Cricetulus griseus: one gene and its partners. The protein of the gene in region 1 interacts with the protein of each later gene in a biochemical or structural test. Links are inferred from orthologs where the notes say so. Each region holds a gene or a part of one and is shown in the gene's direction. Other genes may lie near its edges. The genes, in order: Lrrk1, Scel, Bag5, Nek1, Bag1, Ckap2 and Tex33.

The links.
Region 2: the proteins of Lrrk1 (region 1) and Scel form a complex in vitro, tested with the Homo sapiens proteins (2 studies listed by BioGRID and IntAct, with this or other methods). The link is inferred for Cricetulus griseus from reciprocal best matches to the Homo sapiens genes LRRK1 and SCEL.
Region 3: the proteins of Lrrk1 (region 1) and Bag5 form a complex in vitro, tested with the Homo sapiens proteins (2 studies listed by BioGRID and IntAct, with this or other methods). The link is inferred for Cricetulus griseus from reciprocal best matches to the Homo sapiens genes LRRK1 and BAG5.
Region 4: the proteins of Lrrk1 (region 1) and Nek1 form a complex in vitro, tested with the Homo sapiens proteins (2 studies listed by BioGRID and IntAct, with this or other methods). The link is inferred for Cricetulus griseus from reciprocal best matches to the Homo sapiens genes LRRK1 and NEK1.
Region 5: the proteins of Lrrk1 (region 1) and Bag1 form a complex in vitro, tested with the Homo sapiens proteins (2 studies listed by BioGRID and IntAct, with this or other methods). The link is inferred for Cricetulus griseus from reciprocal best matches to the Homo sapiens genes LRRK1 and BAG1.
Region 6: the proteins of Lrrk1 (region 1) and Ckap2 form a complex in vitro, tested with the Homo sapiens proteins (2 studies listed by BioGRID and IntAct, with this or other methods). The link is inferred for Cricetulus griseus from reciprocal best matches to the Homo sapiens genes LRRK1 and CKAP2.
Region 7: the proteins of Lrrk1 (region 1) and Tex33 form a complex in vitro, tested with the Homo sapiens proteins (2 studies listed by BioGRID and IntAct, with this or other methods). The link is inferred for Cricetulus griseus from reciprocal best matches to the Homo sapiens genes LRRK1 and CIMIP4.

What each region holds. Positions count from the first base shown.
Region 1 is NC_048596.1:131,008,393-131,011,892, forward strand, and holds part of Lrrk1 (leucine-rich repeat serine/threonine-protein kinase 1), read left to right. Parts: intron 1-2,180; coding exon 2,181-3,022; intron 3,023-3,500.
Region 2 is NW_023276807.1:255,218,610-255,222,109, forward strand, and holds part of Scel (sciellin), read left to right. Parts: intron 1-598; coding exon 599-691; intron 692-1,642; coding exon 1,643-1,714; intron 1,715-3,500. UniProt on the Homo sapiens protein: May function in the assembly or regulation of proteins in the cornified envelope. The LIM domain may be involved in homotypic or heterotypic associations and may function to localize sciellin to the cornified envelope.
Region 3 is NC_048598.1:182,322,638-182,326,837, forward strand, and holds the start of Bag5 (BAG family molecular chaperone regulator 5), read left to right. Parts: upstream 1-1,400; 5' UTR 1,401-1,573; coding exon 1,574-1,587; intron 1,588-2,780; coding exon 2,781-4,149; 3' UTR 4,150-4,200. Other genes in the region: cytochrome c oxidase assembly factor 8, read right to left, coding at 780-908. UniProt on the Homo sapiens protein: Co-chaperone for HSP/HSP70 proteins. It functions as a nucleotide-exchange factor promoting the release of ADP from HSP70, thereby activating HSP70-mediated protein refolding.
Region 4 is NW_023276806.1:238,837,695-238,841,194, forward strand, and holds part of Nek1 (serine/threonine-protein kinase Nek1), read left to right. Parts: coding exon 1-76; intron 77-1,094; coding exon 1,095-1,333; intron 1,334-3,500. UniProt on the Homo sapiens protein: Phosphorylates serines and threonines, but also appears to possess tyrosine kinase activity. Involved in DNA damage checkpoint control and for proper DNA damage repair.
Region 5 is NC_048595.1:101,674,477-101,677,697, forward strand, and holds the end of Bag1 (BAG family molecular chaperone regulator 1), read left to right. Parts: intron 1-293; coding exon 294-401; intron 402-1,919; coding exon 1,920-1,982; intron 1,983-2,461; coding exon 2,462-2,551; 3' UTR 2,552-2,721; downstream 2,722-3,221. UniProt on the Homo sapiens protein: Co-chaperone for HSP70 and HSC70 chaperone proteins. Acts as a nucleotide-exchange factor (NEF) promoting the release of ADP from the HSP70 and HSC70 proteins thereby triggering client/substrate protein release.
Region 6 is NW_023276807.1:61,473,269-61,477,291, forward strand, and holds the start of Ckap2 (cytoskeleton-associated protein 2), read left to right. Parts: upstream 1-1,223; 5' UTR 1,224-1,262; coding exon 1,263-1,371; intron 1,372-4,023. UniProt on the Homo sapiens protein: Possesses microtubule stabilizing properties. Involved in regulating aneuploidy, cell cycling, and cell death in a p53/TP53-dependent manner.
Region 7 is NC_048595.1:375,484,200-375,488,204, reverse strand, and holds the start of Tex33 (testis-expressed protein 33), read left to right. Parts: upstream 1-1,205; 5' UTR 1,206-1,447; coding exon 1,448-1,774; intron 1,775-3,512; coding exon 3,513-3,657; intron 3,658-4,005.

The sequences.
Region 1 (3,500 bases):
GGAGACACACCTTCCTGGGCCACCTTGCTGCCCAGGTCTCAGTCAACTTTACAGGTGACCATCATTGCCCAGCACTGCCCAACACTGCCCAGAATTGCCCAGTGCTGCCCAGCATTGCCCAACACTTCCCAACGCTGGCCAGCATTGCCCAGAAGACCTACTTCCTCACCCTCCTAACCCATACACTCACTGTATTCCCCACCCCTAAGCTAAGCCATCTCCACCACGTGCTGGCATTGAATCCAGCCTCACCAGGGCTGGCCAGCCCATCACTGCACTGGTCCTGGGCCTTCTCCTTCAAACAGCAGATACAGGAGCTTCACCTTCCCAGCCTTGTCCAGGAGCGTCCCTCCTGATGAACTGCCGGGATCCAGAGCCATGACCTCTCCTCTGAGAAGTTGTGTGGCATTGCCTACTCTCCCATTCTCTGCTGCCCTCCCTGGATCCAGAAAGGCTATGAGGGGCCTGAGGATGCAACACATGCTCTCCCCCAGTGCATAAAGAGAACTTCCTTGCACCACTTTTTAAAATGTGCTGGCCATCCTTATGTGATCTCCATCTGTCTATATGCAATGGGGGCGATAGTAGGAATGAATTAGTTTCTGATCTTATGGAGCCCAGAGTTCCAGGCTGTGCACTTGGTAACTAAGTATTACTGTGACTTCCTGATAGTTCCCAAATCTGTGGGCTCTTCTCTCTGTGCTGTTCTAGCTTCATTTCTTTAGAAAAGGAAAAAGAAGACTTGCAAAATAGGTATGAAATGACCCTTAGAGTCATTTATGGCCATTGCCCCAGAGGCAGGCCTGGGCAGCTGGGAACTCCCTGCACCAGAGCCAGGGGGAACTGGACACAAAGCATTATTGAAGGACCCCGATGGCCAGAGCCCTAGCCAGTGTGCACGTCCTGCCCTAGCAGAGAGAATAAAGCGGGCTCTGTGTGAGCCTCCTGTGCAGGGTGCCTGCCCCTGTGGAGGTCGTCCTGCAGAGGCCACACAGAGCAGACCCATGCGTTCTTGCACAAGCTCGCTCACATCCTGCCAGACGGACGTGGTGTTCCCCACGCTGGCCAACACAGCCAGGATCCAGAAAGACTTATGGCCTGTTTGCTCTGGCTGCTTTATTGACCTAAATCCTCAAGGTGGAGTTTGAGAAACTTTCTTAGGGCTCTCTACTGTGGATGTTGAGTGAGAGGCCACTCACTCCACTACCCTGACCAGACAGCCCACACTGCTATACACACACACACACACACACACACACACACACACTCCCAACAAAGTGGCTTTCTGCCATTCCCCCTGGTTGGAACAAGGCTGGACCCTGTTCTGTCCTGAACTCTAACTTGGTTCTGAGGCACTTTACATGCCCCACTGCACTCTGTGTCTGCTCAGGGAGATAACCTGGGAAGCCTGCATTTGGCTTTCTGCCTGCAACTTTGACCTCTGTCTAGTGACCTCTGGTGGGTAGCTACAGAGGAAGCCATGCTAGTGTCAGCATAGGCTTTTCAGAGTGTGTGTGAGCTCATGGGGCCAAGACACTCTCTCTGTGTGTGGAGAGTTAAGTTAGAAGCTGTTTCTTCTGGAAACATACGATGTCTACTTGATGGGAACAGTGGAGTCGAGGGTTGCAGAGATGAATGAGACTTAATCCTTCCTAGGCCAGTACAGTGCCAAGGTGGCAGTGGTGGGCACAGAGATCTGGGCTCTGCTTTGCTGGAGCACTCTACCTAGTGTGGGCAGAGTTCCTCATGCCTATCACAGCTGTCATGTTAATAAGATGTTTACAATAGGGAAAACATTCTGCCCTGCCTTCCAGTGAGGCCTTCATGGCATTCAGGAAAAGCAGCTCCCTGCTGCTCATGCAGCAAGGGATCAATCCCAGGTAGTGGCACCCTTGCCGGATGCCCTCAGCACTGTGGACACAGTTCCTCCCTGGCACACCCCTTGCCTTGCAACACCAAGGATGTATGGTGGCTCTGGTGGGGCCAAGCTACATCTTTTCTGGACCTAGGCCTGAGACTCCCGAACAGATCAGGATTTCAAAGCCCTTACTTCTCTGAGGCATTAAGAGAGATCATGTGCCCACTTGAGGCACACATGAAGATGGGTCTAGTGCCTGTGGTTTTTCTCCCAGAATGTGTGACCTGAAGGAGCTTCATGTGTCCCTGTCCCCTCCCCACAGAACTCCTTTCTGGTGCTGGCTGGCCTGGCTGATGGACTTGTGGCTGTGTTTCCGGTGGTACGGGGCACCCCAAAAGAAAGCTGTTCCTACTTGTGCTCGCACACAGCCAACAGGTCCAAGTTCTGTATCCCAGATGAAGATGCACGGCAGAACCCCTACCCAGTGAAGGCGATGGAAGTGGTCAACAGTGGGTCTGAGGTCTGGTACAGCAATGGCCCTGGCCTCCTCATCATCGACTGCACAGTCCTGGATATCAGCAGGCGACTGGAGCCCTTTGCAGCCCCTTCCACGGTCACATCAATTGTGTGCAGCTCAGACTGCAGAGGGGAGGAGGTGGTCTGGTGCCTAGATGACAAGGCCAATTCCTTAGTCATGTACCACTCAGCCACCTACCAGCTGTGTGCCCGGTACTTCTGTGGGGACCCCAGTCCTCTCAGGGACACGTTTCCTGTGCAGCCCTCAGTCCCAGAAGCCCCAGGCAGTCACATAGTCACCTCAAAGGAGCCAGAGGAAGAGTGCATTGCAGACGTGAGCATCATGTACAGTGAGGAGCTGGGCATGCAGATCCTGACCCACCAGGACTCACTCACTGACTACTGCTCCATGTCCTCCTACTCCTCGTCCCCACCCCACCGAGATCCCAGGTCCCCGTCCAGTCTGCCCAGCTCCCTGACCAGCTATTCCAGTGTGCCTTTCTCCACTGATTATGAAGATCCAGACAGGCCCAGCGTCACTTCTGACAGATCTGAGCCTGACCTGACCCCCATGGATGGGGAGACGTTCAACCAACACCTGCAGGCTGTGAAGGTTCTTGCTGTCAAAGACCTCATTTGGGTCCCCAGGTAAGTGTTTTTGAGTGGGGGTGCCATTTCTGAGCTGTCCAGTGCTCTTGTTTTGGGGCCGAAGTGAGTGGAACCCATGGCTTCTTGAAAGATTTGCAAATCCATCTGGGCAGTTCTCCCAAGAAGTCTTTGCCATTTGCTTTTAGAATTAGGAGTGATAGCTGGGCAGTGGTGGTGTACGCCTTTAATCCCAGCACTCCTCTGGAGGCAGAGACAGGAGAATCTGTGTGAGTTCAAGGCCAGCCTGGTCTACAGGGCCAGTGCCAGGACAGGCTCCAAAGCTACACAGAGAAACCCTGTCTCAAAAGAAAAAAAAAAAAAAGAATTGGGAGTGATCTCCAAGCAAATATAAGAAGCTCACCTGTCCATCAGAAAATTCAAGGTGCCCCCAAAACAAGAACCATGCTCAGGTTTCCTATAGAAGGTCTTTCCCTGTGTCACACCGCCTCCACTCACTCTCTTCACAAAAACTTCAGGC
Region 2 (3,500 bases), on another chromosome or scaffold:
ATGTCTTTACTCTCAAAACTTACTAACACGGAAGAGGAAAAATTGCTACAATTTCCACTATTTTTTTTTCATTGAGAATTTCCTCTGTTGCATGGGAGAGATTGAATGTCTTTATGCTCTGTTAAACATGATGACATTTTTAGATCAGCAGAAATCTAGGTCAGACTTCTGTAGTCTTCAAAGCATTACCTTTCATTAAGACCAAATGGGAACTGGAGAGTGTCAAAGCAGCCCCTGCGTCGTTCATTAAACTGATGAATTCTTAGATATGTAGTACAAATGAGGCTTTCTAAAGGGCGCTGCTGTTATGAAAATGATTGAGGAACTAATTTTCAGTTGATTTTAGTCTTGATGAAAATACATTCAATCACAGCATTAGATGACATGGCCCATGTTTGTGAATTATTCTTGAAGGTAAGACAGTAATTTCTGTGGAACCAGTTGAACCAATAAAGCAGTCTATACTTTAATGTATATTCCTGTGCAGAAACCTGGTAGATACAAAGAAATACCATCTATATAGCACAACTTTAACAAAGCAAAATGATTGTATATGACCTTGATTTTGAAGGCCAAATATATATGTTTCTTCTTGCAGGCTAGATGGTCAAGTCAATGGATTCACCAACACTCAACTCAAGGAGTCCACGAGAACCTCTGTCTATTCTTATGATGTCAGAAATAGCCTCAGGTACTAAAGACAGTTATAAAACCAATGACAGGACTATTCCTGTGTCTACTTATTTACATGCAAGCTAGCCATTTGTTTTAAAGCATGGAACTTTTGATATGTAAATACTCTTACATGAAATTGTTGAGTCAACAACTCAATTATTGCTGGGATGCACATAGAATAATATAAAATGTGATTGTTGCTTTAATGTCTAAAATCACATAAAACAAGATTATGACATTGATGTTGATATTCTTCTTTTAAAGATTTATTGATTTCATTTTATGTGTATGTATGTATACCCAAGTCTATGTATGTGCACCACACATCTACTGATACCCACAGAGTCCAGAATGTATCAGATCTCTGGAACAGGAAATGTAGGTGACTGGGAGCCACCCAATGTGGGTGCTGGGAACTAAACCTGGGTTCCCTGCAACAACAAGTGCTCTTACCTACTGAGCCATCTCTCTAACCCAGGCATTCACATTCTTGAATGAGATCTTCCTGACTATATCATTGAACCTGAGGTTTGAATAGTCAATTAAAGTTCACTTTTAACTTAAGGTTTATTGGGGAAATCTATGGTTTAGAAATGAACTAGGCATCAGGGAAACAGATACTAAAAAACAGTACATAGACAGTTAAAATCATCGGCATGCTCTAAGACAATTTTATTAAATCATTAGTTTTCACATTAATAATACTAAAGCAGAACAAGACAGGGATGTTAAGAGTTAAATGGGAGAGGTGGAAAATTTTTTCAGAGGTTGATTAATAACACTTGAACATTTTCATTTGAACAGTTGGTTTAGAAGATATATATATCCTTATAAGGTACATACATACACACATATATACATATGTATAAATATATATATTACATTTTGCATTTTATTGGAAAATGTTTTTGCTTTTATCATCCTCACAAGTGACATTTTAACATGAAACTCAATGGTTTTATTGTAGTTCCGATACTGGAACCAGGAATGCTGGGCCTAAGGACACAGTTGTCTATACAAGGACATATGTGGAGAGTAGGTAATGGAAAAGTGCTTCAGATATTTCATTTCTTTTTACAGCTGTGAATGATCCATGCTGCTTAGGAGGTGCTACCATTTCAGGGTGTGCCTCCTTCATAGAGAGGACAGTTTAATATATTGTAAGTTCTATGCAGACAATGTTTATGTTGTGCGCAACATAAGTAGTTGATAAATGACTTATAGTCACTAAATATACTCAAAAGAATTGCAAATAACTAATGAGTAAGTAATAAGATTCACAATCAGATGTTATTACATAAATGTGCATAACTATTTGGTTATAACAAACTTTTTCATCTCAATCACCTTAATGCAAAGGCTCTACTACTTACTCCCAATTTAACACAGAAGACATATCTTTAGGTCAACATATCATGACCTAAATTGCAGACTATTGATGTCCTATGAAACTGTCTGCTTGGAATGAAGGATGTCAACAAAAGTATAACAGAGGACATGGATTCAAGGAGTATAAAAAATGAGAACTGGCCTAATTATAGGTTAATATAATGGAAAGTCCATAAATGCAGACACATGTGACATGTGTGAATTTATTTCAATGAAGCCCAAGACAACAAATAGTTCAGGGAATCTTCTGTGTGCATGGGAACTCCCAAGGACAACTCAAGACCTCTTTGGGTCAAACCTGTGTGTAATTTACACATATAGCTTCCAAAGTAATTTTTTCTTAATTCAATTTTTGCTCCGTTGTGGCCCCATGACAGTAATTCTTGCTAACATTTAATTAAACTAAAAGACAAAACATTTGAGAGAAAAATAATAAGTAGTTACTGAATCTGAAAGAAATAGGCACATATATAAATAGCATGGGGATGATATAATGACAAGACACAAAATATTGGCAAGTAGGATAAAAGAATAGGCATTGATTCTATGCTTACATGACACTCTGTTTTCATACATTGGTAACCCTATGAGATAGCATATCAACACATTTTGATTTCTAAAGAAATGTCTCATTGAAACAAAGTCCAACAACTGTGGTATCAATTTTTACAAAACAGTAAACCTCTAGAATTAGGCTTGGTCTACTAAATACTACTTTCCAGATTTTTTTAACTTATTGAATAATTCATTAAAATATCAACTTGATTTATACAAGTACAGAAACTAAACCACATTTGAATTATTTAGCCCCATTGGCTATGGTTTGCCTATGTAAACTGCTGTGCACATGGTATCGGAATATCTGTGTGTATGGCATTGGAATATCTGTGTGTATGTGTACAGACAGCAATTCTCAAGTGTGATTTCTGTGCTGGATTCAACAGTATCGCTTCAGACTTGTTACAAGTGGAAATTACTTGGTCCCATCCCAGACCTGAAGAATCATAAACTCTGCCATTGGGGTCCTGGCCATCTGTGTTTTAACAAATTCAATGTGCTTTTGACGCAAATGCAGATTTGAAAACTGTAGCTATAAAAGATAATATTGTATCATGTCAGACCAATAATATGTAGGTTAGAATATTCTAAAAGGATATATTTGCTACTGTTTGTTTCTTACCCTAAGGCGACAGTGATGTCCCTCAAATATCTCCAGCTTTCTTAAAGTGTACACTGAAGGATGCACAGTGTATTGTGAAGTCTCTAGAGTTAGGTTCAGGATTGAGTTATTGTTTGTCATTTACAAACCCAATAGCCTTGGCAAAGGTGCACGTGTGTGTGTGTGTGTGTGTGTGTGTGTGTGTGTGTGTGTTGTGTTGTGTGTGTGTTGGTATTTTAATTTACATTAAACTATTTTACTTACTTAAATTACTTAA
Region 3 (4,200 bases), on another chromosome or scaffold:
TCTCTCACACACACACACACACACACACACACACACACACACACACACACACCCCAAAGTAAATGCTTGGCTGAGTTACATTTCCCCTCCCCAAACATGTTCAGACACCTGTTTCGTTTTTCCTTCTGCCCAAGGACTAAAATTCTATTTTTCTAGAGACAGAAGTGAAGGCTTGTCTGTTTCTCGTGCCAGGGAACCGAGCCAGAGGCCAGGAGCCCGGGCAACAAACCTTAACTGGAGACTAGACAGACTTCAAAAGCTGTAGTTCTAATAAAAGTGTTTCCGAGACGCAGCATAACAGAAATGGAAATTCACACAGCAGGCACATTTTGCAATTCTTAATTATCTCCCCCACACACCTTTTTTTTCCCCGCTGCGGCCCTTTAATTATTGCTTAAGCAAACCTCGCCAGCCTGTGTCGCCGGCCTGCTGGCAAATGCAGTGCGGGCAGCCATGGGCGCTGTCTAGTGCTCTCCACCTGAAGCCTCAGCCATCACTCTCACTGGCCCGGGCCTCCCTTAAACGAAGCACCGGCTCGGGAAGAAGGGCGGCGGGTTAAACAAAAGCCGAGCGCCCGGCCGCTTTCCCGGCTCGCTGCGGACGCGCCCTGCGGCCTCTGACGCTGCGCGACTGTTTACAAACAACGCGCGGCCCGAGCCGCCGCCGCCTCCAGACCGAGCCCGGGCGCCTTCGCGCAGCGGAAGTGAGGGCGCAGCGCGCCGACAGCGCTTCACGCCGGCTCCGGGGACGCCCCGCTCCCTCCCCGGGCGTCCGCTCACCGGGCTGGACGCCGCATCCCTGCGCTCCGTGCCGCGTTCCCGGGCCAGCCGGCCGCCGCCGCCGCCGCTGGACGAGGAGCGGACGAGCGGCCGGACGAGCGCTCCGCTTCCGGGCCGCAGAGCCGCCATGGCCGGCGCGCGGCGCGATCGCGACAGCGCCGCGGTCCGCTTTACGGCAGCGTCGCGCGGGCGGCGGCGGGCGGCGCGGGCGAGGCCGACCGTGCGCTTTCCCGGAGAGCGGCGGCGGGCGCGCCCGGGGCGGGGCCCGGCCGCGTTTTTCCCCGGGCTCGGAGCTGGGCGGCCGGCCCCGCGGCGGGCGCCGCCTCGGCAACGCTGCGGAAGTGCAGGCGGAGGAGCGCGCGCGATGGCGCGAGCGGCCCAGGTGAGCGCAGCGCAGCGCGGGGGGGGCGCGGGCCTCGTTCTCCCCGCCGCCGCCGCTCCCGCGCGCCCATTGTGAGGTCAGGCGGCGGCGCGTCGGGCCCGGCCGAGACGCCCCGGAGCGGCCGCCGCGGCCAGTAGCTGCCGCCGCCTCCGCCGGCCCCTTCACCGGCCGCCCGGGTCAGACCTAGCCGGGAAGGGCGAGGGGGATGCCGCTGGGGGCCCCGCTCCGGCGCCGCTCCCCGTGACGGGCCGGTCTCCCGCCTCGCCGCCCTCCGCGGCCGCCAAGACCGCCGCCGCCCGCACCTCTCCGGGCTTGGACTGAGTTCTGTGGCCGGCCCGCCGGAAGTGAGCGGTTTGACAGAAACCTGAGAGACGGAACGAGCGAGCGAGCGAGCGTGGGAAAAGCTCTAAGCATGCTTACGGGGAGGCGAGTGACCCAGCTAATAACCGCACTTGTCACGCTTTCTGGCGGGGGCCCGGGTCGGGGCAGCAATGGGAGTCGAGGGGGGCGAGGACTTCGTGGAAAGGACAAGTCCGGTTGGGCCTGGGGCAGAACGGTGGCCCGGTGAGGAGCCCCGGAGAGCGCCCGATGACTTCCACAGGGGAGCCTCCCGCCCCGCCTGCCGCTCCCAGTCGTCCTCTAGGGCGGTGGGAGCAGAGGAAACGGGGTTGACGCGGATGGTTTGGCCTCCGTGAAAGTGTGTGCGTGTGTGTGCGTGTGTGCGTGTGTGCGTGTGTGTGTGCGCGCGGCTCACTTTGATTCCCAGGCCCAGACATCCACCCCAGACTGGACAGACTTCTCCCTGTTTTCGTTTTGCTTTTGAGTCAGGATCTCACTGAGTGGCCCGGGCGGGTCTTGAACTCCTAATTCTCTTCCCTCTGCCTCCCTGGCGCCGGGCGTGTTGGCACATTGTTTTGTGAAGTGCTTTCCCGAGAGGGAGTTAACATGTCACATCTCCTCTTTCCTCGAGTATGTCTTCCAAATCTATAAATAACGACAAAACCTTCCGTCTGTGTGTTTTGGTGCTTGCCCGGGTGCCAGAGTTCAACCCTGCCCCCCTCCCCCCAGACACACCATTTCTGTGGTGTCCTTCTACTTTGTTTTTTTTGAGGCGGGGCTTCTCATGGCCCGAAGCTCCCCAATCGGAGTAGGCTAGCTGGCCAGTGAACCACAGAGTCCACGCGTCTCTGACTCCTGGCACCGGTGGTGTAAGTGAGCACCATCTTGCCTGGCTTTTACGTTTTATGTGCACCGGTGTTTTGCCTGCATGTATGTGTGTGCATCACATGTGTGCCTGGCGCCTGTAGAGGCCAAAAGAGGGGATCAGATCACCTGGAACTGGAGTTACAGGTGACCAGGAGAGGCCATGTGGGTGCTGGGAATTGAACCCAGGTCCTCTGGAGAGCATCCAGTGCTCTTAACCACTGAGCCCTCTCTAGGGCCCTTGCCCTGGCTGTCTTTGCATGTGTTCTGGAGCTCCAACTGGAGCACTTGACTGACAGCTGTCTCCATAGCCCCAATTAATCCTTTAAAAAGTATGCCTTTTAAAAGTGAGTTTAAAGTGGGTTGATCTAACTGTCCTGCAGAGACTGTAATAAGTTACTCTTGCCGTCTTTCAGTGCTTGTGAAACTGAACACAGAAGTATGGATATGGGAAACCAACACCCTTCTATTAGTAGGCTTCAGGAGATCCAAAGAGAAGTCAAGAGTATAGAGCCTCAAGTGGTTGGCTTCAGCGGCCTGGCGGATGACAAGAATTACAAGAGACTGGAGAGGATTCTGACGAAACAACTTTTTGAAATAGACTCTGTAGACACAGAAGGAAAAGGAGACATTCAGCAAGCTAGGAAGAGGGCAGCGCAGGAGACAGAAGGCCTTCTCAAAGAGTTGGAGCAGAATGCAAACCACCCACACCGGATTGAAATCCAGAACATCTTTAAGGAGGCACAGGCCCTTGTGAAAGAAAAGATCGTGCCCTTTTACAGTGGAGGCAACTGTGTGACTGACGAATTTGAGGAAGGCATCCAGGACATCATTCTGAGGCTGACGCATGTTAAAACAGGAGGGAAGATCTCTTTGCGGAAAGCAAGGTACCACACCCTAACCAAGATCTGTGCCGTGCAAGAGATCATTGAAGACTGCATGAAGAAGCAGCCTTCCCTGCCGCTCTCTGAGGATGTGCACCCTTCAGTTGCCAAGATCAATTTGGTGATGTGTGAGGTGAACAAGGCCAGGGGCACTTTGATCGCACTTCTGATGGGCGTGGACAGTACTGAGACTTGCAGGCACCTATCGTGCGTGCTGTCAGGGTTGATGGCTGATCTAGATGCTTTAGACGTGTGTGGGCGTACGGAGATCAGAAATTACCGGAGGGAGGTGGTGGAGGACATCAACAAACTACTGAAATACCTAGATTTAGAAGAGGAAGCTGACAGTACACATGCATTTGACCTGGGGCAGAACCATTCCATTCTGAAAATAGAAAAGGTGCTCAAGAGGATGCGAGAGATAAAAAATGAACTTCTCCAGGCTCAGAGCCCTCCCGAACTGTACCTGAGCTCCAAGACAGAACTTCAGGGCTTGATCGGACAGCTAGATGAAGTCAGTGTTGAGAAGAACCCCTGCATCCGGGAAGCCAGGAGAAGAGCCGTGATTGAAGTGCAGACCCTGATCACGTACCTGGACCTCAAGGAGGCCCTGGAGAAGAGGAAGCTCTTCCCTAGTGAGGAGAACCCCCCACACAAGGCTGTGTGGGATGTCCTTGGAAACCTGTCAGAGATTCAGGGTGAAGTCCTCTCGTTTGGTGGAAACCGAACTGATAAGAACTATATCCGTCTGGAGGAGCTGCTGACCAAACAGTTGCTGACCCTGGACGCTGTTGACCCCCAGGGAGAAGAGAAGTGTAAGTCTGCTAGGAAGCAGGCTGTGAAGCTGGCCCAGAACATCCTCAGCTACCTTGATCTGAAGTCCGACGAGTGGGAGTACTGATGGACCAGGAGCTGCTCCTGCTGGTTCACACTTTATCTGCTTTTAGAGAGC
Region 4 (3,500 bases), on another chromosome or scaffold:
GTTGCCATGCAGCAGAGTGAAGTTTATGAGGCTAGAATTCCAGAGAATGTGAACCAATCTTATGAGGATTATATAGGTAAGCTCTACTATATTAGTCTAATTCTTTCTGAAACACTTAACACCAACCTGTCTAATTTGGGCACCATATTTAAGAGCACTTTTGCTTGTTTGTTTTGTTTGTTTGTTTGTTTGTTTGTTTGTTTGTTTCGAGACCGTGTTTCTCTGTGTAACAGCTCTGCTGTCCTGGAACTCACTCTGTAGACTAGGCTAGCTTCGAACTCACAGAGATCCACCTGCCTCTGCCTCCCAAGTGCTGTGATTAAAGGTGTGCGCCACTACCACCTGGCAAGAGCATTTCTTATGGTCATCATAATTCTATTTTAAAAATAGGCCTAGAGAACAGGAACCTGTACTAGCCAGCCCGGTGTTGTGGTAACATAAGCAGTTAACCTTTTGGTAAATTATATTCTTAAAAATGAAAAAAAAGTTCTGTTAAAACAAAACCAGTATACTAAAGGCACCAAATAAACTAGTTTCTTTCTAAAATACCATTGGTTGAAATATAAGATAATATAAACATTTTTTCTACTCTATAGAAACAAACTAAAAAATTGATTTTCTATTTTAAACTTCCAATATAATGAAAATATATATTAAATTAAATCATTAAAATCAAACAGTATATCTGTTTTAAGGTTATTTATAAGGTAGTATACAGTATACTTATAGGTATACTTTGATTTTATTTTCCTGGTGTGAGTTTTTTTTGATGGAATCATTTTTTAATTAAAAATATTGTATATGTCTGAGTGTTTTGCCTGAATAGAAGTAATATTTGTTCCATGTGTAGTCTTGGCACCCAGAAACCAGAAGAGCATGGCAGATTCCCTGGAACTGTAGTTACAGATGGTTATGAACTGCTGTGTGTGCCCTGGGAGCTAAACCCAGGTCCCCTGCAAGTACAGCAAGTGCTTTTAAGGCTAAGCAGCATCTACAGCCCCTTGGATAGGATTTGTATTAACTATTGTATGATATTTGTCGATCTTTAAGTGCTACTGTGTAGACTGATGGTAGAACCTCCTTTTGCCCCACAGAATCTGCAGTGGGTGATTCTCAGCAGTCTGGATTTGATGTGGGGAAATCAGTACAACCAGAACCATTCTTCCAGAAAGTGCTTCATTCTGAGCACTTGAACTTAGTTCAGTCAACTCACTGTCCACCAGAAGAATCAGTTTTACTCCGAACCCGCTCTGATTCACCACCAAAAACTAAAACCAAGAATTCCTTACTGATTGGGCTTTCAACTGGTCTATTTGATGCCAACAACCCAAAGGTAAATGTGGTCTCAGATATGGATAGTGCTGTCTCTCCACTGATAACATTGCTTGATTGCCAGTGTTTGGTTTTAATTGATTCAGAACCCAAACAAGTGTAAACACACACAAACAAAAGCCCCTATTTTATTGGCTAAGGTTCTTTTTAGTGGTACTAAAAAGTGAGCAATAGTTGCTCTCCAATAAAAATTCTACTTGGGGAATAAGACAGTTTAGTTTGTAGCAGTCATTCAGAGTGTTGGTCTGAGGAATTGTTTTCCCAGCTACCCATTCAATGTAACCACATCCAGGCCCCACATCAACATGCAAATACCTCAAGTGAAAGGATGTGGCTGGTTTCTGCAACCTCAGTGCCCCTTAATTCTGTTGAGGGGGGCAGGGCAGGTAAGTCCTTTCCTAATAGTTCCTTGGACTCCTACATACCACTGTGGCCCTGTGGTTTTCACTCCTTTATGGGTAGCTTTATTCTACAAGTAGGACTGTGGTGCAGAATGGAGACAGCTTCCTTCTGGATTCTCTTAGCTCCTCTGTCTGCTTCCCTGCCACGCTGTCCCCTGGCTTAGCAAATTCATTTAACTTCTTATATGTAATTTTATGTAATTTTTGTGTATGTATACATACCAAAATGTCTTGTATATTGTTTGTGTAGCTATTTTTATTGTATACATTGAAGTATTACTGTTTTGATATTAGTAAAAAGTAAGTCATTGTATTTCCCTCAGTATCTTGAATGACCAAATACTACATTAAGTTGCCATATCATTTTTACTATAGCTTTTTTTTTCAACTTTTTAAAATTTGAATTAGAAACAGGATTGTTTTACATGATAATCCCAGTTCCCTTCTCCCTCCGTCCTCCCCTACTCCCCCCAACACAACTAAAACCCTACCTATCACACATCCTTTGTGCTCCCCCTGAATGGTGTGGCCTTCCATAGGGTGTGATCAGAGTCTATTGTATCCTCTGGGATAGGGCCTAGGCCCACCCCCGTGTGTCTTGGCTCAAGGAATATTTCTCTATATGGAATGGGCTCCCAAAGTCCACACCTATGCTAGGGATAAAGTACTGAACTACTACAGGAGGTCCCGTAGATGTCCAAGGCTTCCTCACAGAAACCTGTGTTCCTGGGGTCTGGATCAGTCCCATGCTGGTATTCCAGCTATCAGTCTGGGGAGCAACAGTTCCCCGATGTTCAGATCAGCTGTTTCTGTGGGTTTCACCAGCCTGGTCTGGACCCCTTTGCTTTTCACTCGTCCTTCTCTATGACTGGATTCCACTTCAGTTCAGTGATTAGTTGTGGGTGTCTGCTTCTACTTTCACCAGCTGCTGGATGAAGGCTATAGGATGGCATATAAGTTAGTCATCAATCACATTATCAGGGGAGGGCATTTAAGGTAGCCTCTCCTCTGTTACTTAGATTGTTAGTTTGTGTCTTCTTTGTAGCTCTCCAGACCTTTCCCTAGTGCCTGATTTCTCTGTAAACCTAAAATGTCTCCCTCTATTATGGTATCTCCATTCATGTTAACTTCTATTCTTCCCTTAACTCAACCATTCTGCTCACTCATATCCTCCGCACCCCTCCACTTCTCCCCTTCTCATTCTCCTAGCTCCCTCCCGCTTCCATTGCTTACTCTAATTAGCAGACATTAGAAGATATAAACTACCAAAACAGATTTACAGTCTTAAGTGTTGAATACAGAGCATTATTGGACAGACATCACTATCATATTATGTAGGTACTTTCTTTTTATATTTGTGCACGTGTGCATATAGAAGCCAGTAGTCAGACTCAGGTGTTGTTCTTCAGGCTTTGATTTTTGTGACAGCATCCCTCATTGGTCTGGAGCTGACCAATTCATCCTCCTGTCTCTGCCACCTAGCACTGGGATTACAAGCACATATCACCATGCCAAGCTTATTACATGGGTGCTGGAATCAAACTCATGTCCTCATGTTTGCATGGCAAGCACTTTACCAGCTAAACCATTTCCCCAGCTCCCTATGTGCTTTCTATATAGCTGTCATTAGCCTGAGCTTTTGAACTTACTGGTATCACAATGAATGGTGCTTTTGAATATTGGTTTCCTCTTAAAACCTTAGTTGAGCTTGAAGACTCCTATTGAAGTACTGACTCTGGAAGATTTTAGCCATCGTGCAGATCTCAC
Region 5 (3,221 bases), on another chromosome or scaffold:
TTCTGGCCTGCATTCAGGCAGAAACTGTATTCATAATAAATAAATCTTTAAAAAGAAAAAAAAAAGCCGGGGTGTTGGTGGTTCACGCCTTTAATCCCAGCACTCAGGAGGCAGAGGCAGGTAGATCTCTGTGAGTTCAAGGCCAGCCTGATCTCCAGAGCGAGTGCCAGGATAGGCTCTAAAGCTACACAGAGAAACCCTGTCTTGAAAAACCAAAAAGAAAAAAAAAAAAGAAAAAAGAAAAAAAAGATAAAGAAAAGAAACACTTGCAATAGTATCTTACTCCTTCACAGGGTTTTCTGGCTAAGGAAGTTGAAGCAGAGGTTCTTTACAAACTTGATAGGAAAGTAAAGGCCACAATTGAGCAGTTCATGAAGATCTTGGAGGAGATTGACACAATGGTAAGTAAATATTCCGCTCAGAGATACTAGTTTTTAATGACGGCATTTCAGTTCATTTCTGTCTATCAGTATTACACGTCTGTTGCCTGTGAAAATCTGTTACTTGGGAATGTTAAGCATTTACTATTGTGTGCCAGGTGCTGTGTGTTCTAGTTAGCTTTAATGGTCAACACAGTCTGGAGATTACCTGTGAAGTGCCTCTCTGTTGAGGGATTACCAAGATTAGGGTGGTCTATGGGCACTGTGGGGGGTGAGGTTGTTTTGGTAATTGATATAGCCCATTATGTGTTGCATCATCCCTAGACAGATGGTCCAGGGCTGTGTAAGAAAGCTAGCTAGCTTTGAGCTGGAGAGATGGTTCATTGGTTAAGAGTACTGGTTGCTCTTCCAGACAACCTAGGTTTGATTCCCAGCACCTACACAGTGGCTCACAACTATTTTTAACTCTAGTTCCAGGGGATCCAGTGTCCTCTTCTGGCCTCTTCAGGTGTCAGGCATGCATATGGTATAGATATACCTGTAGGTAAACCACCCATAAAATTAAAATAAATAAACCTTAAAAAGAAAGCCAAGTGTGAGCCAGCAAGCAGCATTCATCCATGTTTTTTGCTTCAGGTTTCTTCCCCAATTGATCAGGGCATTTTCTCACAGCAATAGGGAGGAAACTAGGTTAGCATGCTAGGTTATTGGGTGAGTGTGTGGAGTTTCTGACCTGTAGGCATTCACAGCCCAACAACACAGAGGCTTCTGTAATATGTATGGTGTGTGTGTGTGTGTGTGTGTGTGTGTGTGTGGTCATGGACCTGGAACCCAACAAGTTTATGATCTTGTGGTTAAGGAAGTTTATTTCTTCTATACCACCACATTTCTTCTTTAACCACAGCCAGATCTTGGGAGACTGTCGAATTGCTGACCCAAGTTTTCTTTAACAGATGACTGTAAGGGTATCTCTAGCTTCATGCTTCATTCTTGAGAGTGAATTTCTCTGGGTTTAATTCTGTTGTGACTGAGGGGTTAGAAAAGAACAAACCAGCCAGGTGGTGGTGGCACAGGCCTTTAATCTCAGCACTCAGGAGGCAGAGGCAGGTGCATCTCTGTGAGTTCAAGGCCATCCTGGTCTTCATCATGAGTGCCAGGACAGTCAGGAATATGCAGAGAAATCCTGTCTCAAAACCAACTAAACAAACAAACAACCCCCTTCCACACACACACACACAAACAAACAATGGAAGGTACTTTTCCTGGCTTATTAGTATCCATATGTTTGGCACAGTGAAAAAACAAAATCTGTGTTTCAGATCAGGTTACACTCCAGACATTGCAACAAAGGGAGGGAGCATTCATAGGAATGAGAGCCATGAAGGGAGCCACATAGGATGCACACCGGGAGAAATGATGCCTGAAAGTGCACATCTTACTTATACTGGTGACCTGTGAATGTATTGTGTGGATTTCCAATGTCTTTTGTCATTGTCATTACGGATGTCAATTGTTTGGTGTGAACTGTTTCTCCCATAGGTACTACCAGAAGATTTTAAAGACAGCAGGCTAAAAAGGAAGAATTTGGTAAAAAAGGTTCAGGTGAGTGAGTTATATGGTAATACATGACAGGCTGTAATATATTTAGTGTGTTTGGTGTGTGTGTGTATATCTGCTCAAAACAGGGTAGTGTAGAACTGTGCTAAGAGGCATGGTCTATTGTTATTGTTTATTTATTAGCATGGACCCAAGAAAGGGATTCTTGCCCCTGTGTATGCGATATAATCAGTTTGGACAAGTTCACTGGAGAGGAGATAGGGCTAGCAAAGTTCCAGTAAGGGCCAATGGTGTGTCTAGTGCCCCCTTTTGGAGGTCGTTGGCTTAGGGCATAGTCAGAACTTGGCCCAATATTTCACTATCCCTGCCCCCCTCAACTTGGGAGTCCATGTCCATCCCTGCACAACCTGTTTAGAGTCTAATCTGCAGGTTCCCCAGAATGGCTGAATAAAGAACCTTGAATGGGCAGTGGTTGGCTTGTCCTAGGAGGGCCTCGAATTTCACTGCCTGTGTCTGTCTTGTAGGTGTTCCTAGCTGAGTGTGACATGGTGGAGCAATACATCTGCCAAGAGACACAGCGACTGCACTCTTCAGACTTTGCCCTTGATGAATGAAGTGCGGTAGAGAGTGGCTATGCTGACCTGAAGTGCAGCTTCACAGCTCTGCCCTGTCTTGAACAGAAGCTGCTTGTTTCTTCCGGGCTGCCAGAGGCAACTGGCCAAATGTCACTTTCCCTACTTCTCCATCGGTTCTGAATGAAAAAGTACTGTCTTTGCAACCTGAAGTAGAGTTCCTGCTTTCTCATTTGGCTCTTTATGGTTGTGGTGTGCAGCAGCTGCCTTTTTAGGAGAGAGGCCTTCCTGCCCAGTGGTTACCAGCTCTTGACATTCAGGTACTTTCTGGGCTGGGAAGAGCGCCTTCATCTGCGCTATTTCCCAGTTTGTAGGGTACCCTAGTTTTCAGATTCATGACCTTGTGATCTCAGTTTGTAGATGTAAAACCAGAATCATCTTTGTAGGAATGTTGGGTAGAAGTTTGGCACATGGACCATCCACAGAGTGCCTTGCTTTAGCTTAATTTCAGAACATCTGACTGGATTGTTGGTTTAAAGGCCTGTCCTCATCCCCCACTGCTCCTCCCCAGCCACAGGCCTTGGTTTCAAGGTGACATTCTTCTTTTCTTTTTATTTTTTTTTTTTGAGACAGGACCTCACTGTGTAGCCCTGGCTGTCCTGAAATTCACTATGTAGACCTGAGATCTGCCTGCCTCTACCTCCCATTTTCT
Region 6 (4,023 bases), on another chromosome or scaffold:
CATTTCGAGCGGGTCTTTCATCACCAGATGTGCCCAGATTTAGGATGGGTCTTCTCACCTCAGATAACCCAATGAAGAAAATCCCTCACAGGCATGCCCAAATGCTTAGGTTTTTGTTAATTCCAGATACAGTCAAGTTGACAACCAAGCACACCACTAGAACCTTAGCAATAAGTCATATTGTAGTGAATGTGTAAAATAGCAGTGGTGTCTTTAAAAATAAGAGCTGTTGGTAAGGCTACAATAAAATAGGATATTTTAAAAGGAAAAAAAAAAAAACTACAGAAGGACCAGGGATTTAGCTCAGTGGCAGCGCACTTGAACAAGTCACTGAGTTCCACTCCAACCCTTAAAAAAAAATGTACTGGCAAAGCATCTGGGGGTGGGAGTGGGGGGTTGACAACGACGATGACGACTACGACAGCAAGAGATGGCTATTTAGTAAGCTAAATAAGATAGCCCAAGATAAATTGCAGCTGGGCCCTGGACCTGCAACATTCCAACTTCTCCACAATCATTGAGGTTTTAATCAATTAATCAGCCTTGCAAAAAGTTTCACTTTGAAGATGCAGCCTCTTTCTGGGAATATATTTTATACATGTCATCTCCTTGAAGACTGGGGTTACAATGGTGTACCACCATTGCCCGTCTGTCTGGGTTTTATATAGGTGACACGTTTAAATGATGGGAGTGAACGATTATAGTAGCAAACCTAAATATACAAACATAGAAAAACCAGGCAATGTGAGATTCGAGTTCCTGGGATAGAGTTGAGTTTGGTACACTGAGAGACTTTCAATAAAATAACAGCACAAAGGTAGACCTTAAGATTTTGTTTGCGAGCTGTGCAAACATGGACATCTAACATCTGAGCTCATCTCGTTTGTGAGATGTGATCACAACCCACTTCAGTAATGCAGCTCCAAAGGGCAGTGGTGAATATGTACTCCTCAGGGACCTTCTGAGCTGTAGCCTCGGTGAGCTCGCCAGCAGCCATCTGCTGTCCTTTGCCTTACTCGGGCTGTGTCTGAAGATTTGTCCCGACTTGTCAACCCTAGTCCTGCTACAGCCTGAGGATTCAACAAGCCCGCTCCGCCCCAGTCCATTCAGCTGAAGAGCGTTGTTTAATTTTCGAAAAACTCACGCCGCCAACTGCCAACTCTGCAGACTCCCGGACGGCCCCGCCCCTCGTCCAGGCTCCGCCCCCCCGCGCTCATTGGTCCATTCAATTCACGCCGGCGCCTAGACGCGCACATTACGAGATGGCAGAGTCCAGGAAACGCTCTGCAGGCCGGGCTGGGAGGAACACTTTGCGGGTGCCACGGGACCTGCAGCTGCCCCCGACCAAGAGAGACCAGCCGGCCTTCAGAGGTAAGCAGCGGCGCGGGGCCTGGGCCGCAAACCCTCCTCACGCCCTTCTGAGAGCCTAGGCCTCTGCCCCGCGCCTCGGTAGAAGCCGGCGCGGGCAGCGGTTTAGCTCGGGGGTCCGGGTTTGAGGGCTGAGGGGGGCGGGGCCGCAAGGACCCCCGACTGCGCCTGCGCGCTGGCTCGCCCAGCTCTAAGCTCTGGAGGTGAGGCTGGGGGACTTACGTCAAAATTTGGAGACTAGTAGTAGCTCGTCTCTACCATTGTATCTTATAGACGCTTTCTGGAACCGAAAGTCGAAATGGTGTTCCCTAGGGAACGTGATTATCTTTCTGTCTGCCCGTCTGTCGGCGATGCCCGTCCGTCAGTCTGTCTTTTCTGGTACTGCTGAGGATAGACCCCCGTTGTTCTATCGTAGAGCTACAGCCTCAGTCTAAACTCGACTCAGAGAATGTGTTCTTATTCAGAGCAGTTGTCAGCATCATTCCGCCTAGGTTTATGCCAGCTAGACACAAGACAGAGTCCTCTGGGAGGAGAAAATCTAAATTGAGAAATGTTTCCGTAAGATCAGGCTGTAGGCAAGTCTGTAGGGCATCTTTTTTTTTTTAATTAAATTTTTGGTGTTTTTCCTGCATGTATGTCTGTGTGAGGACAGGAGTTATAGACAGTGTGGGCTGCCACTTGGGTGCTGGGAATTGAATTGAACCCAGGCCCTCTGAAAGAGCAGCCAGTGCTCTTTAAACGCTGGGCCATTTCTCCAGCCCCAAAGATGGGCCACTACCTTCCCAGGACATCTCCCTCCCCCGACAGAGTTTCTCGGTGTAGCTTTGTAGACCAGGTTGACCTCGAACTCACTGAAATCCACTTGCTTCTGCATCCTGAGTCCTGGGATTAAAGTCGTGAGCCTTGCCTCAGGGCATCTTCTTAATTGACTCTTAAATGATTGATGGAAGAGAACCCTGCCCATTGTGGGCGGTGCCACCTCTGGGCTGTTAGTCTTGGGTGCTTAAAAAAGCAGGCAGAGCAAGCCAGTAAGCAACATTCCTTCATGGCCTCCAGATTCCTACCCTAAATGTCTTTGATAAAGACATGTGAATAAACCAAACCCTTTCTTCCCCAAGTTGCTGTTGGTCAGGTTGTTTCATCACAGCACTACTAACTCCAAGACAGCACCTTCCTATTAATGGGATCATTTCTCCAAGTTGGGAAATTTCCAATTTCACTGATATAGAAATATTTTCCCAGGGAGGAGTCACTTCACACACTTAGTGATTAGATAAGGTGCATTTGTCCTGCTAATGCCCAAGGAAGAGCCAGCCTTGAATAGAAGATTTCAATACTTGATGTTCAGTTTAGGCTTGTGCATTTTACTTATGCTGTCATCCTTAAATCTCTTTTGGGTCCCACCAGTTACTCTTGGAACAGTTTAAACAGACAGGAGAATACTTGGGCAGATGGGAGATTGACACAGCAAAGATAATTGCCAGATTGTTTAAGTATATTAGTGTTATTCTTTTCTGAATAAATTGTTAGCCAGAGTCCTCATTCCCCGTTGTGGAGCTATTAAAAATCTTTTAAAAAGCTCCAGTTTAAAATTCTATGTCAGCAGGGCCCTGTTGTTTTCATCACCTAAGAAAGTGGCTTCGAGGTTGGAACCATCTGTATCTGATGTAGTTCTACCTCAGCCCCTACAAGAGTGATATTAAAGTGGCTCCAGCAGTTCAGAGTTGGAGGTACAAAGGCCTAATACAGTGGTTCTCAACCAGTGGGTCCACACCCCTTCAGCTATCCTGCATATCAGGTATTTACAATTCATAACAGTAGCAAAATTACAGTTATGAAGTAGCAATGAAATAATTTTTTATGGTTGGGGGTTACCACAACATGAGTAAAACTATATTAAGGGGTTGCAGCATTAAGAAGGGCTCTGTTAGAGACATTAAGCTTTTTAATTCCAGTAACCATTCCAAGAATACCAGGGGCTCTGTAGCGTTTCCCCTCTGTTGGTCATACTTTCCTCTCTCTGTTTCACCCAATTTCTAACTAGCCCTAAATAGTTACCATAGTAATAGCACTCTTTATTCAAATAGTCATATAACCTTTTCTCAGCAGTTATTAGATGTATGCCTTTTACAGAGTTGTGAGGCTCTATTCATTTTCAGAAAAATATATCATCTACAAGGACCAACTATTATTTGGATGCACAGCTAGGCATAACTCATTAAATCAGATGATTTTTTTTTTTTTTACAAACCTGTTACTACCAGATACAACAGCTAGTAAAATTCTTTGTGTCAAAGTCCAGTCTGTGGGAACCATGGTAGCTACCCTGGAGGAAGAATTATGGCCAATAGTACCATGAGTCCTAAGGGAGGCAGAGGTATTGTGATCCCCATCTCCAAATGTCTCCTGCTGCATTCCTCAAGTTTCTATCGTGTACTGTGGCTTTTAGATTTGCAGTGGGAACAGGGCTGAAGAGCTGTTTTCTATGAGAGGCTTGTCTGGGTGGACTGTCACAGACCAGTCCCTCGGGTAGGATGGGTCACCTGCAACTCAGGGTTTAAAGGTGTACCCACAGTTGATCCTGCTATGCTGACTGGCCCTATGACAGAGGCTCTGTCTTAGATTTTCTAAAACTCTCCTGGGGGGTTGGGGGGG
Region 7 (4,005 bases), on another chromosome or scaffold:
ACAGTGGGTCTAACTGGAAGATATACCTCCGTATCACTAAGAGAAAACACTCCTGGTTAGCCCTACACAGGGCCATCAAATGTTACACAGCCTGCAGTCAGAATGAGAGGAGATGGGTGTCTTGGCTGGGATGAGGCCAAGGTCTCGTGGGTCTGATGTTACAGCCAGCTACTTGTCTTCTCCTTTACTAAAGGACTCAAATGTTCTGGGTACCTTGGGGTACTGTGGAAGGTCTGAGACTGGCCCCCTACAGGGACTTCACCTGTGAGACCCTCTCCCCTTATCTAGGAGGAGAAAGGGGGCATCGTGGAACTCACAGTGAGATAGAAAGGAAAATCTCGGAGCTGTGAGGATGTGGACAGTGGACAGTGTCAGGTGTTGAGCAGAGAACTGACCCAACAGCCTGGGGCCGGTGGCGGAGAGGTGTGTGTGTGTGTGTGTGTGTGTGTGTGTGTGTGTGTGTGTGTGTACTTAAAGGTTGAAGGAAGGATCTGATTTGACTTTCAAAAAAGGGGGGTGATGGGTGGTAGAAAGATGACTCAGCAGTTAAGAGCTGCTCATCCAGAAGATCCAAGTTTGATTTCCAGCATTCATATGGCGGCTCACAATTGTCTGTGACTCCAGTACCTGGGAATCCAAAAGCAGTCTCTTCTGGCCTCTGTGGTCACTGTATGCATGTGATGTTTTACACATATGTACATGTAGACAGAACACCCACGTGCATAAAAATAAAGATTAAAAATATTTAAAAGGGACGGCCTCAATAGGTAGTGGAGCAGCCTGGGGGAGGCAGAGAGATGGGATGTTTCAGGGTGTGCAGGAAAGGAGTCAGCAGTCCCTTGTTGGAGCCAGGAATGATAGGAGGGTAGTCTACAGGATGAGGTTAGCAGTCCTGCTGGCAGCAGGAGTTTTGGAGTGATACAAGTGGGAATGAGAGAGGGAGCTGTTAGTGGCCCTGAGATCATGGGAGGTGGCCGGGATGGAAGGGAGAAGAGGTGGGGGACGGGGAACAAAGAGCAAGGCTCATACCCCATTTCTAGCACTTTGCAGACCTGAAATTTGGCCAAGCCAAGAGTCATCTCTGCCACCCCGATGCCTATTGGATTCATACAGTGTTTTGTTAGAATTCAAAGCAAGAAAGGGCCTTATGGAGACAACCCTGTCCTGTGTAGGTCTGCTCACTGACTTCCCTCTGTCTCCCTCATCTCTCTTTTCTCACCTTGCCTTGGGATCCTGCGATTTCTCTACTCTTGTCTCTACCCTTGTCTGTCTCTGGCTTTCTGGTTTTTGTCACTTTCTCTCCCACTGGCCCCTCTGTCACCTTTCCCACTTTTGCTTCTCACACTGGTCTGGTGGCTTCCTGTCTCTGTGCTGCCCTCTTCCTCCCTGCTCAGGTACAACCACTTTGACAAGGACCCAACCCAACAACAAGGAGGGCCAGCAGGACATGGACTCCTGGAGAGCTTCCCGTAGCAACTTGGACAGCTCCAAATCCAGTCACCATTCAGGGCTCTCTCAGAGTCCTCAATGCAGCCCCCTGGGCCAGAGCCACTTGGAGATGCCACCTCCGCCACCGACTCCTGCCAGCAGGACTTCTCTGGGCACGGGCTCACACTCTGAGGACCTGAAGAAGGGGTCATCTAGATCCAGCTTGAGAGAAGCCAGGGAGACCCCAGAGCACACAGTGTCTCTGAACCAGGACAGTGTTATTCCTGATAACATCCGCCACAAGTTTGGGAGCAAGGTGGTGGACCATCTGATCTCCGAGGAACAGGTGACAAAGCAGAGATGTGGGAGACTGAGTGGAAGAGGGTTGTCTTGGAGACTTAATGAGGGTACAAAACCCATTCCTGGAAACCATACCTATACTGTCAGAAAGTGACGGTTACTAAGACGTGCTATGCATGAGGCACTGTGTGCTGTCTCAAGCCTTTGTGCGAGACCACTATGAGGAAAGAGGTATTACCTCCATTTCACATGAATGAAGTCCAGGGCAAGAGGGGCTAAGCAGGTTAACCACATCTACCTAGCCATGTGGAATGAGGATCTAAAGTGGGTTCTAGAGCCCTGGCTGATACTGACTGCAGTTATAAGTCTGTTTGCATTAGTCATTTCAACCTGAACACAACTCCTAAAGGATCATTTTCTGGGTATCAGAGACATGGTTTGGGATGTGGCTCTATTTCAGCAGTGGCTTTTTTCCCCAAAGGCCAGGTAACTCTCTTTAAATTGCTTTCTGTTTCTGGCCTTCAGTCTCTAAATCTGCAAAATGAAACACCCAAACCATTCAGGCTGATAAATCCATGGCATATATACCATAAGTCTAGCCTTATTCATGGCAGACATGACAAATCAATCCTGGCAGTCTTTCCTACCTGCTGTATTCTTCTAGACAGCCATTACTTATCAATTGGAAATCGAGACTAGAATCACCCGCCATTTTTAGTCAAAGGATAAACTCTCATATTCTGAGACATATTTTAAGGCTGCAATTTCAACCCTTGTAGTGACTGCAATGTGTGGTCAGTAGAGCAGAGGTTATGGTTTCCTTTTAGACAGGATAACTAGGACCAGGACAGGTGTTGTGTGTGATCTGCTCAGAGCCACAAGGCCAGTAGATCCATGCAATAAAAAACTTGAGTGTCAGGGCCCTCCCAGGCTCACCTTCATTTGTCATTTCAAGGTAAACAACCCCACCCATCAGACACACTCATGGGGGTGGGTCACAGTCTTAAATGTCCTCCCTGCTTTGAACGACTTGTTCCTTTGGAGATGGGTGTGGTCACTCATGCAGCTCTTGGCCTTGGGAAGATACCGTTGGCCTCTGCAGCACAGTTTCTGGGGTACAGGTCCCTGGTGCCACTGAAGGAGCAAGTGTCTGAGCTGAAAGCTACTTGCAGGCTCTCAGGTTTGCTTTCCAGAGAAACTGAGGCCCAGAGAGGTCCCAAGGCCTGCCAAATTCAGCAGTTGCTCTATGTCAGAACTGGTGCTCATAGTCAGGTTTCCTGACTCATAGGCCCAGACTTGTCCCTTTGGGCCTCAGTTTCCTTCTTGATATGAGGAAGAAGTTGGTCTCGGTGTAAACTAAGTTAGGCTTGTGGGATGCCTTGGTAGTAAGCAGCAAGTTACTCTGGGGTTCCCCAGCTGTGTTAACTGAGGGGAGCCTGGCCTGTCAAAGTCCTGTTTCCTCATTTCTAAAATGATGGGAACAGGATCACCCTGTGAAGACCGTCTTCAGAGCTCAATGTGTGTAGAATCATTGCTCTGATACTGTATACAGTAAGAGCTCAATGTGTGTAGAATCATTTTGCCATGATGGTGTACACAGGAAGAGCTCAATGTGTGTAGAATCATTGCCATCACTTAAGATTTGGCTCTCTGGGAGGAGGAAATGAATGGGGATATGCAGAGCTTGCCCTGGGGGATTCAGCCTACAGTGGGGAAAGCCGGGTAGTGGCAGCATACATAATATCTTCCCATCACTTGTCTCTTGTTCTTGCCTCCTCCATCAGGCTCGAAAGGCCATTGGTGAAATCTTTGAGGGCCAGAAGAGATCAAGCTCATGGCCAAGCAGGACCCAGAGCCCTGCACAAATCTCCTCCATCTTCGCAGACTACTATGACCTGGGCTACCACATGCGGTCCAACTTGTTTCAAGGTCAGGTTAAAAGACAAGGGTGGGGCTGTGAGCATGCGTGGTCCAGAGAACATTGGGCACAGAAGGCCTTTGGGGTGTCCATCCTACCTGGACCTTAAGGTTCAAATGCATAGCCCCACAGACACTTTACAAACACCCAAGGCATCCTTCATGCTGGCATGTCCTATGGGAATGCCAGGACCATCTATCTAATCCCTGGAAGGTGTGTCTTCACTGAGCAGGTGGTACAGCCCACTTGGTAGTGAAGCCCCCACACTGGACACCTCTGGTTCCCTAACTTACCCCTGATCTGACACCTTTGCTGACAGTGATAATATCAGCTTTCTTGGGTTCAAAGGTCAGCGTGGC